Linked DNA regions of Daphnia pulex. The protein of the gene in region 1 purifies or fractionates together with the protein of each later gene. This does not show direct contact. Links are inferred from orthologs where the notes say so. Each region holds a gene or a part of one and is shown in the gene's direction. Other genes may lie near its edges.

Region 1 (3,754 bases):
GTTCCAGTAACAAACTGCACCCGATGGCACTTAGATCCATGAATTTAGTCTCGTCGTTCAATTCCGCTTTGACTGACATGGTCGTCCGAGCGGAATCCGAGCCTTCCCGGCAGCCAATGTGGCACAACGCATGCCTCGTCTCACGATTCAGCTATCGTCTGCCAGACTCGCATCTCATTCCTCTCACTCCGCAACGTCGGAATACGAAGTTGATTGAAGGTCAACTTTTTTTCAAAAAAGGGCTCGTGTTTTGGCATATGAATCAAACACAACACCCAACCATCTCGGCGCCATTCGACGAGCTACTGGACCTCCCTCCGGATCTCTGAAAATCGAGTGGAAGAAATAAAATGTTGTTTTGAATGATTTGGATCAAATTGAAACGAAAGAGCACTTTACACAATCAGTCAAAAATATTTTGGGTTATTTCATTTCCACTTGAACAAATACACTTATTTCGATTCACACACAATCTGTCGAATTCTTTCCAACGCCAACGACTTTTTTCCTCCAATTATTTTAATATTAGAACAAGGAAGAAGATTTTGTATGCGGCCGATTTGCTCACGACCCGATCGCCGACTAACTTTGCCCACGAAAAACTGGCAAATTTGTTTGTTTTTAGTTTGAATTTTTCTTTTTCCTACACGACGCGCTTCTCATTTTCTTTCTGGTCTGGTGTTCGCCCTTTTTTTCGCAGTTGCTTCCAAATATTTTAAAACTTGGCTCAAGTTGGATGCAGTGTGCTACTATTTTGGGCGCCATACACACACACTCGCATACACACACACACACACACACACACTGCTGATGTATATTATTGGCATTCGCAGCCGCCCACTCAAGCTATTATGTTACCCGAACGGTCGAGAACGGAAATAGGAAGAAGAACAGGCGAAAAAAATGGTCTTCCACTGGTCATCATTGCCCCGAAACACTGTCATATTAAAAAAGAGGTAGTTCATCTGGGACAAAGAGTTATGATATTTGGTGTGTCTTTTGTTGCGACACATCGTTCGATTGGGACCCTGCCAAGAACGCATTTTGAAATAGCGAAGAAAAAGCGAACTGTCCGTTTGAGAGTTGATGTATCTATTCATGTGTGCTACTGCTGTAATTGTTGGTTGACCGATTACTTTGCGTGTGATGACACGACCTGCAGCGCGAGAGAGAGAGTCAGACTCCCCCCCAGCGAGACGAGGAAAGAGATTGGAACTTAACGCGTCAACACATCATATCAACCTTTAATTATGTGGAAAACGAGTTTGAATTACAAAGAAGCATATACTCATAAATATGGAAAGCTGCATTCGATGTATACAAACAAGAAATTTTTCCCCAATTGAAATTCTTGTCACACGTTAGGGAATTTACTATTCGCACCGAACTTCACGCCATCTAGTTTAGCAAAAACGCACCGTTTACTAGACTCTGGCGGAATTCAACACGAACTATTAATGCCGGCATCGAAACAATTCACAGTTGCATATGTATGTGTGTTTTTGATTGCCTAAAGTTTAATTAAAGTTTTAAAACATAAAACTCTGCAATGGATCTACCTCGTCCTCCCGAAGGTAATAACCGTTTAAATTGAAAAATCTCCTCATCAATTTGTTCACAACAAATATTTTTATAGACATAGAACTGCGCAACATTATTGACAAGTTAGCTCAATTTGTGGCGAGAAATGGTCCCGAATTTGAGCAAATGACGAAAAACAAACAACGAGATAACCCCAAGTTTGGTTTCCTGTTTGGTGGGGAACTTTTCAACTACTACCAGTACCGTGTGACAACAGAGCAAGCAATTAACAAGCAAAAGTTTGTCCGAGAGCAAAGTCAACCCATGAGCTATCCAATCAACTATGGCCCACCGCCTAATACAGAACATCCCAGTTTCAATAGGAATTACAACTATGGCCCTTCTTCTGCATGGCCTAGGGCTCACCCACAGCCATCAATGCCCAATCAGATGTCATTTCCTGGACAAAATCCCATCCCTCCTCAAACAGATTTGATTGCTTTAAAAGGTGCAAAAGATGTACTCGTTGCCCAACAAACTCAACTGCAGGAACAGGTAAACATACTCCAGATCATATCAAAAATAGTAAATACTAATTGGTTTGGTTCACCAGATCAAACAAAGTGAAAGCAACTTGGCCGCTCAACATCAAGTGACAGTGCAACAGCAGAAAAAGCAGACAGAGGAAACAGTCAAGTTGCAACACGAAAAAGAAGTCATGGAAAAAGCGTTGGCAAGTGGAATGAATTTGGCAGAGTTAGAATTGCTTTTACTGCCTATCATGGATTCTTGCACCAAAGAATCCATATCTCAGGGTAAAGCTTGGATTCTCCATCATGTGATGCAGCCTCATTCATCCTCTGATGCCATAGCACAATATCTCCTTTTCAAAACAACTCAAAGCAGTAAGTTTTCCTCTGTTGTGGCTACTTGGCATTGCCTGAGCATTTTTTTTTCTTTCTGAATCAACAGGTCAATTTACCCACAAACTTCACTTGATCTATTTGGTCAACGACGTGTTACACCATTGTCTCCGCAAAGGACCCGACACGCTTTTAAAGACACTCGAACAAGTTGTCGTCCACATGTTTTCAAACACTAGTCTGTCTGCAACCGACGAGGAGCAAAACGCCAAATTGCAAAAACTGGTCGTTTTGTGGCAAACGAAAAATAATTTGTTTGAGCGTGGTGTCCTGGAAAGGTTACACGCACCTTTACACATCTGGAATGAATACCACAACAGTCTAGTGGCCAAATACTCGGCAGCCGTAGCAGCTTCAACTAGCAACATTCAGCATACGTACGAAAACTACCGCGGCCAGCATCAAGCCTTCGTCAATCATGCCAACCACCAGATTCAGCAGCTAGAGCAACAGAAACTGCAAATTGAAGAACAAATCGCGGCGGCCAATGCTTTGCAGTCTTTTAATGCACCTCATCACGCCATGCCGCCGGATTTCTTATCTCGCCCGCCGCCAGTTGCTTCCCTTAATGCCCCGCAAAACTACCCGTGTGAAGGAATTGAACCAAAGGCTCCCTACTTCGACTTACCAGCGGGATTACTCGTCCCACTGGTGAGAATGGAAGACAGCGAGTACAAAAGCATCGATCCGAAAGATATCCGCCTTCCTGCACCGCTCCCACCGTCTGAGCGATTGATTGCCGCCATTGATTTCTTCTACAGTCCTCTCTCGCACGACCGACCACGAAACGCAGATGGGTTCGTGATAGATTTCCTTTCTTGTTGGCTTATCATTCAAGCTTCTTCTTCTCAACTTTTCTCTTTCTTGTTTTTTTTTTTAGGTGGGAGCAGATGGCTCTTTTCGAGTTTTATAAGAACAAGGCAACTGCGAAAAAGAAGAAAGAAGAAGATATTGCTCAGGGATTACGCGACATGTCGCCGCCTCGAACTCCTATCGAAGTTGTCGAGGATCATTCCCCTGAAAGAAGTGGTAAGAATGGAATCAGAAGTCCCGTGCGTCGAAGATTCCGCAGTGAGTCGCCCGAGGAAGAGCATAGAGAAGAATCGAGGCAAGCTCGATCACGATCCAGATCGCCTAGAAATTCAACAAGACGTCGCCGAAGTCGATCTAATTCAGAGTCGCCCCGTCGAGCTGCACGCTCTCGTTCTCCTACACCTAGTCGTTCGGAATCAAGATCTAATTCGCCCGTCACGATGACCGGTTTTGCGCAAAAGCGGAGCCCCACGCCACCTTCAGAAATGTAACCAACC
Region 2 (3,403 bases), on another chromosome or scaffold:
CAAATTCAGCTACAATAGCTTACATCACGTTTTTAGAACTTTTCCTCAGCCGCTTTTCTTCTTTCTTTTCCTTCTCCGTGATTTTAATTGTTCTCTTTCTGTTTCTTCTACGGAGAAGTCGTCTCGTTTTCTCTAACGAAGGCGGTAATCTCCGCCCGGCTTAAGTTTAATAGCTACCGGTTTTCAAGAAGTAATACACGTGTCTGCATCATTATTAATGATTCTTAAAAGAAGCGTTAAAGATTCGGTTAAATTCAGTTAATTTAAAAATAGTATTAAAATAATTATTGTTCGGTGCTACAGAAAGTTCAGATGCAAGATGTAGCCACGTTGAGTTTTATTGCAGAAAAACAGTGACTTCTCACAAACCAATTGTTGGAATTTGCGATATAAATAACTTTATTCTTTCTCGTCACTGATTCTTCGTCACAGACACCTCTTATAACAAGTCCGTCCGCTCGATAATATAGATACGCATACAATTAACGGCACACAACTGTGGCGACATTTGGAGGTGTCGTAACTCGTAAAAGGGCCGACCCAAAAATATTCCTGTCCCAAAACAATCAAAAATCAACGATATGCGCAAGGAGGCAATTTTTTGGGAGAAGCTCCGTATTTTCTATTCCGTATCCGAAAAGCAAGGTGTTTAATTGACAAAAAAACAATTCAATTATTTATAAGTAGAAACAGGGTAGTATCGCTGTATCTGTAGTGCCTGGCCACCCCTGGCCACCCCTGGGCCCTGGCCCTGCTGGGCCCTGGCATGCCCCTGCCCCCTGGTTCCTCACTGCAGATTTAGGTAGCTGTTTAGTAGTCACCTTCACCTTTCATGAGATGAATACATCAAAACATAAAAAAATACAGTACAATTTGCATTCGTCGTCTATTTTTATTTCTTGTGTATGTTACTGCGAAGGCGTCCTGAGCTCTGTTTAAAAACGATTTGAACGACAACTAATTCAACGGATATAAGAAATTACTTTGCTGTGAAAATGTCTCTTTACGATGATATCGACGAAAATAAAGCTAAATCTGTCACCGGATGGTCGTCAGGAATCAAGCTTTTACATTCGCAGATGCACTTAAAGAAAGCTATGATTACACAGGTATCCTACAATTTACATTTCATTTGTTACTCATAGATTATGAAGAAAGATTTGTTTTTCCTAGCCAAAACGTGAAGGTATCCGAAGAGCTATCCATCCTGTAATACCACCCTGCCTCACAGCTACTGAATCACAGATAAAAACTGAACCTGAAATGACCAAAAATCTGATTCATCAGACACCCCAACTCTTGACAACTATTGTTCCTAAACAAGAGAGATCCTCACTCTTTGCTGAATTGGAATGGGACCCAAATCTAGAGTATGATCCACTGCATCCTACTGACTATGACAAAATCATTAGGGGTACACAGCACCTTTTATAGAAAATGAAAAATCTGAATACAATAATTTTTGTTTTTTTTTTTGTTTTTTGTTTAGAGAGAAAGGAACGACGAGGGATTGAAATTGAAATAGAAGAAGCTGAAAAGAAAAGGAAGCCTAGGGATGATCGAGATATTAAAACCAGAGACAGGTATATAATGGGACTGGGAGCTGCCTAATAAATATGGTGATGATAGAAACTGATTACATAACCATTTCATGTTTTAGGTCCTCATCTGCTGTAGGATCAGGTTTTGCTGGACGTTTACATGATGAGGAAGAGGAACCAATGGTGAAGAAGTCCTCTACTTCTGGTGGAGTTGCCATTGCCCCACCTCCATCATTACAAGACAACTCATCGCCATCTCATCCTTCTCTCTCCTCTACTGGAAGTGGGGTTGGAGCTCTTGGTGTTGCTGCTAAGATCATGGCAAAATATGGATTCAAAGAAGGTCAGGGACTTGGACGACAACAGCAAGGTATTGCAGCTGCCTTACAAGTGGAAAAAACAAGCAAGCGAGGTGGACGTATTATCAATGAAAAAGAAATTATGCCTCCTCCGCCACCTGTTGTGTCGCCAACAGCTGCTCCCAAAGCGGAATTAACGATTGCTGATATCATGAAGAATCCTTCAAAAGTGATTTATCTGAGGGTAATGTCATAGGTCAATCATTTTCACGGTCCTCATTTCAAATTCTGTTGTTTGTTTGTTTCCCCTTTCATTAGAATATGGTTGGCCCTGGTGAAGTGGATTCTGATTTGGAACCCGAAGTACGCGAGGAATGTCAGACAAAATACGGGGATGTGAATAAAGTTGTTATTTTCGAGGTACCTAACGCCGAGGAAGAGGAAGCTGTACGGATTTTTGTTGAATTTAAACGAATGGAAGCTGCCATCAAAGGTAATTAACTACAGTTGAACAATAACACAGGTCTGTTAAAAATTGTTAACTGTCGTTTCTTTTTGTAGCCGTAATTGATCTCAACGGCCGATTCTTTGCTGGTCGGCAGGTGAAAGCCGGATTCTATGATGTGGAAAGATTTCTCAAGATGGAGCTGAATGATTGAACACGTATTGAAAAATAAATTTTACGAATCGAAAGTAATTGAATTTAATTACATGGTATGGCGTTGTTCCCAAAAGTTGGAAGCATTTGACCTTTAGGACGAAAAACCTTTCTCTCGTTCTAGGAAATAAGATTGATTCCTTAAAAGGGATGAAGAGAGATGAATTTAAACTACTACGAAGCAAAACAAATTCTAACTTCACAAGCTAGCGTGTCCTCGCAATATCACACCAGAACAAATAATTGAATTGCACAAAAATGTGTTGATCAAGCAAGGTTCTACATTCAAAGTGTAAAATAGATTTACTTTACTTTGATTTTCACGACTACATTCATTTTTCATCAAAAGGTAGATTCTACTTTTTAAAATTTGAGTTGTCAAGCGTAGCTGCAAATCAGTAATAGACTTCTAGTGGATGCTTAGAATTTAGTAATAAAAAAAGTATAGATTTGAATTCGGAAACTTGGCGGTAGGTTTCCATATATATATCCCGTTTCCAAATCATAAAAAATTTCATGAAAATTGGTTCTTTTCTTAAGTGTTTTTTAAGTGACATTCAGTAGGTTAAACCACTTTCATATAAAAATGAGGTTAATATTTTATAGGGGACGATCTATCGACGTTAACGTATTTTTTAAATAGTATAATCCGGTTTCCAAGAACCATGAGTATATGTAGTTCTTCGAAATAGCTACGCAAAGTGGGAACCTCTTCTTGCCTCAAAATTCCTATGATATCATAATGTTGAAAGAATTCTTCGTGAATCGTTCATGTCTCAACATGATCGAGAACAAGGTCAGCTGTCATTGCCATTATTATTGACCTCATATTTTGACATTTAATATAGCTCAAATGCTCAATAACGTACGTGCTTATAAAGCATAGCATTTCAGTAAATACGGCC

What was found. The genes of interacting proteins can lie anywhere in the genome.
Region 2: the proteins of calcium homeostasis endoplasmic reticulum protein-like (region 1) and splicing factor 45-like purify together in Homo sapiens (co-immunoprecipitation; 4 studies listed by BioGRID and IntAct, counting the BioPlex papers as one, with this or other methods). This does not show direct contact. The link is inferred for Daphnia pulex from reciprocal best matches to the Homo sapiens genes CHERP and RBM17.

Annotation. Positions count from the first base shown.
Region 1 is NC_060023.1:8,902,367-8,906,120, forward strand, and holds the start of calcium homeostasis endoplasmic reticulum protein-like, read left to right. Parts: upstream 1-1,435; 5' UTR 1,436-1,549; coding exon 1,550-1,574; intron 1,575-1,636; coding exon 1,637-2,076; intron 2,077-2,134; coding exon 2,135-2,426; intron 2,427-2,493; coding exon 2,494-3,241; intron 3,242-3,324; coding exon 3,325-3,744; intron 3,745-3,754. Other genes in the region: uncharacterized protein LOC124197929, read right to left, coding at 1-79. UniProt on the Homo sapiens protein: Involved in calcium homeostasis, growth and proliferation.
Region 2 is NC_060018.1:8,645,496-8,648,898, forward strand, and holds splicing factor 45-like, read left to right. Parts: upstream 1-794; 5' UTR 795-995; coding exon 996-1,109; intron 1,110-1,173; coding exon 1,174-1,414; intron 1,415-1,489; coding exon 1,490-1,583; intron 1,584-1,660; coding exon 1,661-2,084; intron 2,085-2,158; coding exon 2,159-2,333; intron 2,334-2,401; coding exon 2,402-2,499; 3' UTR 2,500-2,533; exon of another isoform or gene 2,534-2,622; 3' UTR 2,623-2,815; downstream 2,816-3,403. UniProt on the Homo sapiens protein: Splice factor that binds to the single-stranded 3'AG at the exon/intron border and promotes its utilization in the second catalytic step. Involved in the regulation of alternative splicing and the utilization of cryptic splice sites.